2 linked regions of the Xenopus tropicalis genome follow. The protein of the gene in region 2 interacts with the protein of the main gene of each other region in a biochemical or structural test. Links are inferred from orthologs where the notes say so. Each region holds a gene or a part of one and is shown on either strand. Other genes may lie near its edges.

The links.
Region 1: the proteins of nfe2l2 (region 2) and enc1 form a complex in vitro, tested with the Homo sapiens proteins (2 studies listed by BioGRID). The link is inferred for Xenopus tropicalis from reciprocal best matches to the Homo sapiens genes NFE2L2 and ENC1.

The regions. Positions count from the first base shown.
Region 1 is NC_030677.2:183,964,025-183,969,345, forward strand, and holds the start of enc1 (ectoderm-neural cortex protein 1), read right to left. Parts: upstream 3,451-5,321; 5' UTR 3,091-3,450; intron 1-3,090. UniProt on the Homo sapiens protein: Actin-binding protein involved in the regulation of neuronal process formation and in differentiation of neural crest cells.
Region 2 is NC_030685.2:65,682,226-65,687,393, forward strand, and holds the end of nfe2l2 (nuclear factor erythroid 2-related factor 2), read right to left. Parts: intron 5,010-5,168; coding exon 4,737-5,009; intron 4,639-4,736; coding exon 4,552-4,638; intron 3,946-4,551; coding exon 3,763-3,945; intron 3,210-3,762; coding exon 2,025-3,209; 3' UTR 1,152-2,024; downstream 1-1,151.

The DNA.
Region 1 (5,321 bases), on a different chromosome or scaffold from region 2:
ATGAGTGACATAATAGCCAGCCGGGAGATTAGTCGGCTGCCAGGTTTCATTTAGTTACAGCACTTTGTAATTGTGTCTCAAGCCTGCTCAAATGAACATTCTTACTTGAGATTGTACATGCCCCCTGTGCTTAAAGGGCCCCTCTAAGACACTGATGAAAGTACAGTGTGTAATGATGAATTAATATTTAAGAAGGATCACAATATGGGCACCAAGATTTCAATAGTTTTACTTCCATCGACAGAGCTGGGCACAGAACTCCAATGGGCAGAGCCAAGAGCCAGACAATGTTCCTAGCTGCTCCTTTTGAAATATAAGCCTTTATTTCATTATCAACTAGCAGCAATTGTTTTTGCAGATCTCTATGAAGACACAACTTGCACCAAGATCATTGAGACAGTCATAAAGGGCAACACTGGGAAATCACATTGGTGCAGAAATCATTATCTCCCCACTAGGCTGGAGACATGGGAAGCTACATATGAATACATAGGGGTATTGGGCAACCTGTGGCCATTAAGACTGCTAAACTACAATTTCCAGTGTCTTCCCAACTTCAACTGCTGATGGGACATGAGAATTGCAGTTTAGCATCATCTATAGACAATAGGCTGCTAGAAACGTAGGGCTACAGGACATGTAGCATTTTGACTGCTGCTATGAATAGCAGTGATGGAAAAGCCACTAACTACTCTGGGTTTCTTTCTACCGATATGAAGGGAAGCGCCACAGCTTGTACTGAGCATAGAAATAATACCAATGCAGCATTGAGGGGGGTTTGGGCAGCAAGAATAAATGCAGGGCAACCGATGTGTGGCTTCCCCTTACTATCAGTGGGAAGAGATCATTTGTGGATAGCGGATGTTTTGACTGTCACTGCAAGTAGCCGAAATACAAATATATCATGTGTCACAGTCCTTTGATATGTGGTGCAATTGTCATCATTACTGTTAATTACCATCACCAGGGCAGCTATCAGCTGATTATTAGAGCATTTCTGCTACAGGGTCCCCTAATGATACACTTATACAGAGCACAAAAGGAAACAATGGGGTTTTGACCAAAACTTTTTAGATCGTTAGAGTGGCATTTGTACCCATTCTCTACTAATAACAAGGCTCCAGACAGTCATTTACTATGTGATCTAACCAATGCCACCAAGTTAGAGTGCATCTGATTGCACATGCACAACTCTAATGCAATTTAGCACCAGCGAATGGGGTTTGAGTGCCACTGTACCAACCTGTGCAAAACCCACAATCAGTTCAGTTACAGCTGGTACTGCCAACTTATGACCCTTTATTCCCATATTTGCATTACTAAATGCAATGTATATATATGCCGATATTCATTCTAAGATTCATTCTAAGCAACACAAATCACAAATGCATCTTGTCAATGGACAGGAAAGCAAAACAAAATAAGCTCAAAACGACCAATAAAACAGTGGCAATGCTTGAAGAGCCCCCCCAGGGTAAGAACTTGTGAATGACCCCCATGATCAGCTTAGCCCAGTAGAATTAGCGCAGGCACTACTCTTCTCAATGAAGCGCCGGAGTTACACGCTTCATCCTAACACTACATGACAGCGGTGTGCGCAGCACGTGTGAGGCTAAGCCCATGTTTCTGTAGTGACCAACCTCGAAAACTGAGCTCTCGCACGTTGGGCTGTTCCCTGCTAAGCGCTTTCTGCATGAATAACATGATCATTAACCCCTTGGGCCAAGTGTTTCACACATTTCCCGGCCACATAGAACAACCAAAATTAAACTTTCTTACTTCTTTAGCTGTCAGGGGGCAAGTAAAGCATGTTCTTTTAATGTAACCTGCATCAAATTGGGGGTCCCAGTGAAGCACTGGTATATGGGAGGGAATGGGTCAGAGATGGAGATAGTAACACAATGGTATAACATGCTCCATTCAAGCAATTGCTCAGGTACATACAGGGCTTTTAGAGTAGGGAAGTTCATAGGGACCTCAAACATCAGGGGGTCCATCTGGGAGTCAACAACAAAGTATATAGGACATGTTATATGTGGCTATAACTGGCAGATACTCCATAAGTAGATGTCCAGCATGCAGCCCCCCAGCTGTTGTTCTACTGAAACCCGGAGGGACAATGCTCATATAGAATTACAGGCACAGGGGAGGCACAGCAGACATATGGCCCAGACCCAGCATGCTCAGTGCCCATTTCAGCTACAGTCACAATTGCAGCACATGGTACCAAGCGTCAAGCCGATAGCACAAGCCATGATAAACAGTCATGTTAATTACATATACATAATACATAGTGTCAAGCAAGGAAACATAGGGGCATCTTAATAGCAATTGCCATGATACATAAAGTGAAGCCAGTAGCACAAGCCATTATACACAGGGGCATGTTAATAGTAATTGCCATTATACATAAAGTGAAGCCAATAGTACAAGCCATTATACATAGGGTCATGTTAATAGTAATTGCCATAGTACATAAAGTGAAGCCAATAGCACAAGCCATTATACATAGGGGCATGTTGATAGTAATTGCCATAGTACATAAAGTGAAGCCAATAGCACAAGCCATTATACATAGGGGCATGTTGATAGTAATTGCCATTATACATAAAGTGAAGCCAATAGCACAAGCCATTATACATAGGGTCATGTTAATAGTAATTGCCATAGTACATAAAGTTAAGCCAATAGCACAAGCCATTATACACAGGGGCATGTTAATAGTAATTGCCATTATACATAAAGTGAAGCCAATAGTACAAGCCATTATACATAGGGGCATGTTAATAGCAATTGTCATAGTACATAAAGTGAAGCCAATAGCACAAGCCATTATACATAGGGGCATGTTAATAGTAATTGCCGTGGTACATGGAGTTAAGCTAATTAGTACAAGCCTTTATACATAGGGTCATGTCAATGGCAACAGCTAGAACAGAGTCGCTTGCTTTGCTGTTGCAGCTAATTTAAAGGGACACAGTACTAGGAAACCCCCAGCTTCTCCCTCCAGAGACAGGAGTCGCTATCATGTGTATCGCTGCGTTTGGAAAGCAGAGCAGTAGGAAAGCAACAAAGTCGCGCAAAACTCACCTCCAGCTCACTGGGAAGCATCACAGTACAAGGAGCGCCCAACAGTCCCTTCCTAGAGTCGCAGGCTGCAGCTGATCCTTCCGAACAATCGCCCAACTGTTAGGAGTTGACCCCGGGCTCTGCACAGGGAGGGGGACACACACAGGCAGCTGCGCCGGAATATCAGACTGAGGGTCGGCAGGCTTCTGTCGGGCTTCCTGCAGGGCACATGGGCTGAGGGAGGAGGAGCTGCCATACACGGGGAGAGCTGGCAGCAGTAGCAGCAACGCTGGGCGCCTGTAGCTAAGTGCAGCCCGGCTCCATTCACTCAGAGGTGTTAGAGAGGAACAGGGCGGAGCTACGCGGAGGGAGGGGGCGGGGCTTCAGTGGATACAAACCCTCCCGTAACTAAACAGTGCAGCCTGTGTGCTACTCCCGGGGGGGGGGCGGGGAGATGGGAATGTGTAAGAGTTATTGCACTGTGTGTGGGGGGAGGGGACGGAGATAAGATCCCTTCCAAGGATAATTGTGCGTGTATGTTCCTATAGCGCTTACTGATTGGCATCTCTGTGCAACCATCTAGCAGCACGGCCATTAGGCGGCACTTATACCTACCGTGAGGCACCTATAGGCCATGAATGGTAGGGGAGCCCGTAGCTTTTGCCTCACTTTAACTTCAACTTCACCTGAAGAACTGGAGAAGCCTATGATTATTGGCATGAGATCGGCTTGGATAAGACAATAAAGATATTTTTATATTATTATTGCTTTCCCTCCATTTGACTAATATCGAGTTGTCCCTGTGCATGAGAAACACCGGCCATCGGCACATTATAACATCCTTACTCCTGCACAGAAATCATACAATCCAAGCGCAGTGACTTTCTGTGCCACGGAGCTTGCACTCTAAAAATGGGGCTGCAGATGGATAGAAAGGGCTGACATGGCATTAAACTCAAGCTTCCCTGAATCAAAGCCCAAGGTGTTTAGCGTTTGTCTATACTAACTACACTAATTAGCCTTTTCATCTGCGCTCACTGCTCTGTACAAAATCAAAATCAATAGCGGCACAAGCCCCGCAATCTGTGTCAACAGGGACACCTAGCGGTCAGACTGCGCAACCGCACCTTAAGGATGAATACACTGCGCAGCGCGGAACGGAGAAAGAATCTTTCCCTACAGGGGCGCAAAGAGAAGCGTTACCTTGGTGCTTATAACGTTTATCCTCTATTGCCCTTTAACTGGAGGCACAGAGCCAGAGCACATAAATAATCAATATATTTTATTTTACCTGGTAATAATCTTGGCATCAAGCGTAGTTTCTATTACATATTGTATTTATTTCTACGGACCTAGGGTGTTATGCAGTTCCCATTCAAATATATGGAGAAAAAAACAATAGGGCTCATTTACTTACTAAGTTCCCTGTGCAAAAAGCATTTTTAGTTACTATTTTCCAAGTTTTTTATTTAGGATATTCTCATATAAATCCTGTGTCATTGCGTCTGCCATGCAGAGTTGTGCTTGGCGCAGCTGGCAGGCAGATGTGTAGGATTTATCAAACATTCTGTTGTCCTGGTCATTCAGGCAGTCGGACTTTAGGAAGTGAAGAGTCTCGACTAGTGATGAGCGAAACGGAAAAAATATGTGAAACGCATTTGTTGCGCTTTTTTTCACGACTGCGTCAAATTTTTACGTGCCTATGTCCAATTTGATGCGATTGCGATTTTTTTGGAGCACAACAAATTTTTCCGCTGCAAATTTTCAATGAAGTTTCACAAAACAATGGTGAAATGTGGAAATGCCTTGCAAATCCATGCCTGGCAAAAAAACGTTACGTTATTCTGTTGATTTACACTAAGCCCACAACCAAAGTGCATGAGGAGAAAAAATGTTTGATTTTGAAGAGTCAACTACAATCCGATAGAACTGCAGCACGATCTGTGGAAACCAGGCCCTGAGCTGATGTACCTCCCAAGCGCCACTGGCCAAGCAGTATAGTTACTGGCCAAGCAACATGGTCACTGGCCAAGCAGTACGGTCACTGGCCAAGCAGTACGGTCACTGGCCAAGCAGTACGGTCACTGGCCAAACAGCACGGTCACTGGCCAAGCAGCACGGTCACTGGCCAAGCAGCACGGTCACTGGCCAAGCAGCACGGTCACTGGCCAAGCAGCACGATCACTGGCCAAGCAGCACGGTCACTGGCCAAGCAGCACGGTCACTGGCCAAACAGTATGGTCACTGGCCAA
Region 2 (5,168 bases):
CTCAGTACAAGTGAGGGAATACAGGGTTATGGGAGATAGCTCTCAGTACAAGTGAGGGAATACAGGGGTATGGGAGATAGCTCTCAGTACAAGTGAGGGAATGCAGGGGTAGGGGAGATAGCTCTCAGTACAAGTGAGGGAATACAGGGGTATGGGAGATAGCTCTCAGTACAAGTGAGGGAATACAGGGGTATGGGAGATAGCTCTTAGTACAAGTTGATCCAGGGACTGGTCTGATTGCCCTCTTGGAGTCAGGAAGGATTTTTTTTTTTTGCTTTCCACTGGATCAATTAGCAGTTAGGCAGGTTATATATTGGCATATAAGGTTGAACTTGATGGACGTGTCTTTTTTCCACCTAACTTCATAACTATGGCTCACCCGTATAAGTCACGTGGTGTGGTCCTGTCCGATACTGCTTGCTCCCGGTGAGAATCACCCAAGCACTAACTAGACATAAAACAAGCCATAATGCCTTTATGATTACCCTTGCCTCCATAAAATAAATAATAAAAAGAAACCATTCATTTTAAGTAGCTGCAAACTCAGTTTAAGGCAGCCCTGCACATATTTGGTTGGGCAGAATAGTTGATTTTGACTACCTGACCATCCAGGGAAAATATGTCAAGTCAGAGGGGCCATTTGAAGAGTTAATCCTGTGATCTTGGTGCATTGAGGATATTCTGTCCTATCAGTGGGCCAAAATGAAGACAAGAGGAACCACAACTCTTCTTTATTATCTGCTGTTTTGATCATTTAGGTCTCAACAGAAAAATGGCCAAACGAGTGTATAATTAATTGTACGGTATCCTAATATCCTGAACAGAGAATACCGTACCATGCAGCCTGTGTATGGGCACCTTTAAACCAGATTTTTAGCCAGATATCGGTCAGAAAGGTCTGTCAGAGGGCCCCATACATGGACCAATAAGCTGCCAACTCGGTCTGAAAGGACTGAATCAGTAACAGTATAAACCCATGTATGGCCACCTTTTAGTCTGCACAATTAATTGGAAAACATGCCAAAATGTAAATAAGCCCTACCTATTATGTCTTTACACCTTTATAGTATAGAAAAATGTTACATTATAAAACAGAATTAGCAACCAACTGTGTTTCTTTGAAATACAAAATCAATCACAGAATCAGCATGAAAGATGGTATTTTATGCTTTATTAACTGTCATCTGTCTTGCTAAATGAAAACAGAATTTAAAAGGGAAAAAAAACCAAAAATTCAAAATTAAAAAAAAAGTAAAAAGAAATAAAGCTCTCTATAAAAGAATCAGCAGTTACAAACATGATTTGCCACAAATGATATTTAGTGTACTAAATTTATTTTTGGTACGTTTCTTAGCAAATAAAATAGGAATTATATATATACATAAATATGATGTATTGCACTATTTACAGTTATTTAGAAAGACAGTGTCGCAATAAGGAAATATAGGATGTTCTATAAAAGACTGCAGATTTTACATGAGATGTCTGTTGCCTGATATATTTCTGTATACCAAATATTTTCAGATTTCTGACTACTGAAACCAAAAAAAAAAAAATAAGTGCAAGATATACGGAAACAATATTTAATAACGAAAATAAAAATGACTGATCCTGCAGAAGTCGCATCCGGTAATGCCCATCTGTCTCGCAAGCCACAACGAGGCCGGATTTTGCAGAAAATACTAATCAGTTTAAGTCCGGTATATTGGAAATGTTGTCGAAAGCACACATCTGAATATGCTATATAACTCTGTTAAACATACCAGTTTTACCTAAGCACTCCTTGTTAGGGTGCAGACTGAAACACTCCAAATGTTTAATTAGGTTTCAGCTGGACTAATTAGTTAACTATTAACTGCATAAGACTAATTTGTATTTTTTTTAACCCCTGCCCCGGTTTAAGTGCTACAGTACAAAGACTAGTTCTGGTGAGCTACTTCTTTAACGCATCCCAGTCATCCACCTTAGGCCAAACACTGGGATTCCATCCCAGAATAAACAATAAAAATGTTATAATATATTTGCTATTCCTTCTTTATGCTAACTTTCTTGGTTTTTGGAACAAGGAAAATATTTCCCTCCTTTGTCTGCTGGAGGGAGTATTCATGAGGGGAGTATGGTTGCCCATTCTCGTCTTGCAGCTTATTAAAGACCTCCATGTACAGGGCGCCAAGCTTCTTCTTCAGTTGACTAAGGCTGTTGTTGTACTCTCCTCGTTCAGCAAGTAATTTCTCTTTTTCATACTTAAGCTTGTCCAGATCAGTCTCCAATTCCACTATGTTGTCCATCTTCCTCTTCCGACAATTCTGAGCAGCTACTTTATTTTTGCCCCGCCTCCTTATATCTCTTATGAGGGCAAGCTGGGCCTCGTTAAACTGATACTTGGACATCAACTCATTAAAGTTGTCCACTGGAAGGTTAACTATTTTATCGACAGAGAATGGTATGTTGAGAACCTTTGCTCTTTGCTCGTCTCTGGTGAAACGAGCTTCTTGGCGGCTTAAATACTTGTCCTTGGCAAACGGAGCCTTGCTATAGCCTGGGCTAGCAGGTATCTCTTTTGCCGAAGGGGTGTGAGCTTCTATATCAAAGGGATCTGTGTCATGCGAGACAAAAGGCGAAAGAGTGAAGTATGTGTCCTCAGTAAATGCTGCAGTAAAATTGTCTGGAGGTTTTTGCTGTGCAGTCTCTGGAGTGCTGTCCATATCTTCCATGTCTGAATCACTGTAGCTATGATGAGGCTCACCATAGACGGAACCACTCATGGACTGGGAAGGTGATGTTGCACATGGACTGGCATTGACAGAAACACCAGAATCAGAATCATTGAATTCTGGTTGGTTGTTCCCATTAAAAGCTTTACATAATGACAAGTCTGTAATATCAACGTTATCATTCAAAAGCTCATTCAGCAACTGGCCTGAATTGTCTGTTAAAGGCACAACATTGGTCACTTTTGGGTCAAGTGTAAATATATCATCGCAGAATGACTCAACATTAAAGGCTGTATTTGTGTTTACTGATGGTAGACTACTAGTGAACGTATCCACAAGATCACTGGAGAAAACAGTGCTGCTTTCATGTGGTTTTTCAATAGTGGACAGGGGACTAAGGAAGCTGTAAGTGTCTGGAGTCTCTGTCATTGTGATGGATTCTTGGTTTGTATACATGCTTAGGTCCACCATGTTTTCAATCTCATTGTTAAGGCACTGTTAGAAGAAAAGAAACAGTGTTTTAGTCAAGAAAATTCGGGTATACTTATTTAGATACACAGGCTGGGTGAAAAGGGTCAATTGTCTTTAATTGCTTATTTGGTTATCTAATATTTGTAGCTGCCTAGGTCCCCCACATTCTAGCCAATAGGAAGAGCACTTTACACCCCTTCATTGTACCCAACACAGAGTACACTGCAGTAGGGGTTTTCATTAAAAAATAGTAACAAGCCCAAGAGGCTGGTTAGAAACTTTACACAAGGACCAAGCTGATGTGGTCTTCTTCCAACAGGGCTCCATATGCCTATAAAATAATCAGGTTATGGGAGCCAAAAGATCAGACTATTATAGACTCATTATATAACACATAAAATTAAAAGTTGATTATAAGATGTTTTTAAACCACCAACCCAATCGTTTATCTCTCTTCATGGAGGCACAGAAGAATGCAATACAAATTCATTCTCTCATTTAATCAGGCCAACCATTCATTACATGCAATAAGTATACTACAAAGTAGTTATATACATAGCATATATAGTGATGTTACCTGTAACTCAGGAATAGACAATAACTCCTCCCAAGCCTGATTCATTTCATGCATAATCTCTCCTTCCGCAGGTATGCTGCTCAGCGTGCCAGCTGGTACCGGATTTGGTTCAGACTGGAGGAAGGTCTGGTTTGTTTCAATAGGATCACTGGGTTCTAGTGTCTGGTATGCCAAAGAGGATTCCTAAAACAGATATACATACATTAACTGAAAATGCAGGTTTAACAAAAGAAACTGGATGGCCTTGGGCTCTAAATGTGGAGTTTTTGGCTAGGAGTAGCCTAGGTGCTGTTTTTCAAATTAAAGGGTATGGCTAGTAAGCTAGATAGCTCCTCTGCTGTCATTTCTGTTTACTTATACTATATAAATTATTTAATTTTTTTCCCCTTCAGTCTTAGAATTTACAGTCACAGCAAGCAGGCCAGCGCCATTTTGTGAACACTGTTATTAAGGCAAGCTTTGTATCACCCCAAAAACTTTTGCATTCGCCATTTAAGGTGATATCTAGGAAGCGCTGAATGGAAAGTTAAAGTAACTGTAATTAAAAATCGGAGCTAACAATCATATATTGTCTGCCCCGCCTCTATGCCTTATTTTATAACAGATTTAATTAAAAGAAAGAATTTGGGTTTCATGTTTAATTTTTAAAGGACTTTTATTATACAGCTTTTTATGTGTGGGTGACAGGTCCTTTAAAGGCTTTTATTCCTGTTCTGGCTCTGGGTCTCACATGGAAAGGTGTTTTACTTTAATAACTGAGAGTCCAAGGTTTAAACCACTGTGATTTACCTCATTAGCTGGTCCTAACTGGAATGTTTCACCCAAAATCTTCAAGCATTCATCAAAGGATAAATCATGTACCAAACTGGGTTTGACCTATAGGAACAAAAAAAAAAAAAGAAAGATGCCACATTATTGTATGTGAATTCCCTATGTCACATGTTTCTTTCATAAACAAGATCTGGGCTAATTACCTCAATGGAACTGGCAAGCTCCTGCGTGACTGCTGCAGTCTCAATAGGTGCAGCCTGTTGGATTGGGATGAATTCCCCTGTCTCCTCATCTAATTGCAGTTGGGCGTAGAGTGCTTTTTCCCGTTCCTTCTGCAGCTGCTCTTGCCGCTCCTTTTCAAGCTTCTTCTGTTTCTCCAATTCATTTTCCTTCTGTCTTTGGTTATAGTCGAAAACCTCACGGCTAACACCGAGGTCAATGTCTTGCTTCCAAAGAATATCAATCAGATCCATATCCTAGAAGAAGTCAAATACATGGGGTTTAATGTCCTGATACTTTTTGGATAATTGTTCAACCCCATGAAGCAGCTATGAAATCCAACACGACTGATAGTGGTAGGTTACATCTTCAACTGGGCTTGGATTAAGCTGATGTGGTAATCTTTCAAGAGGCAG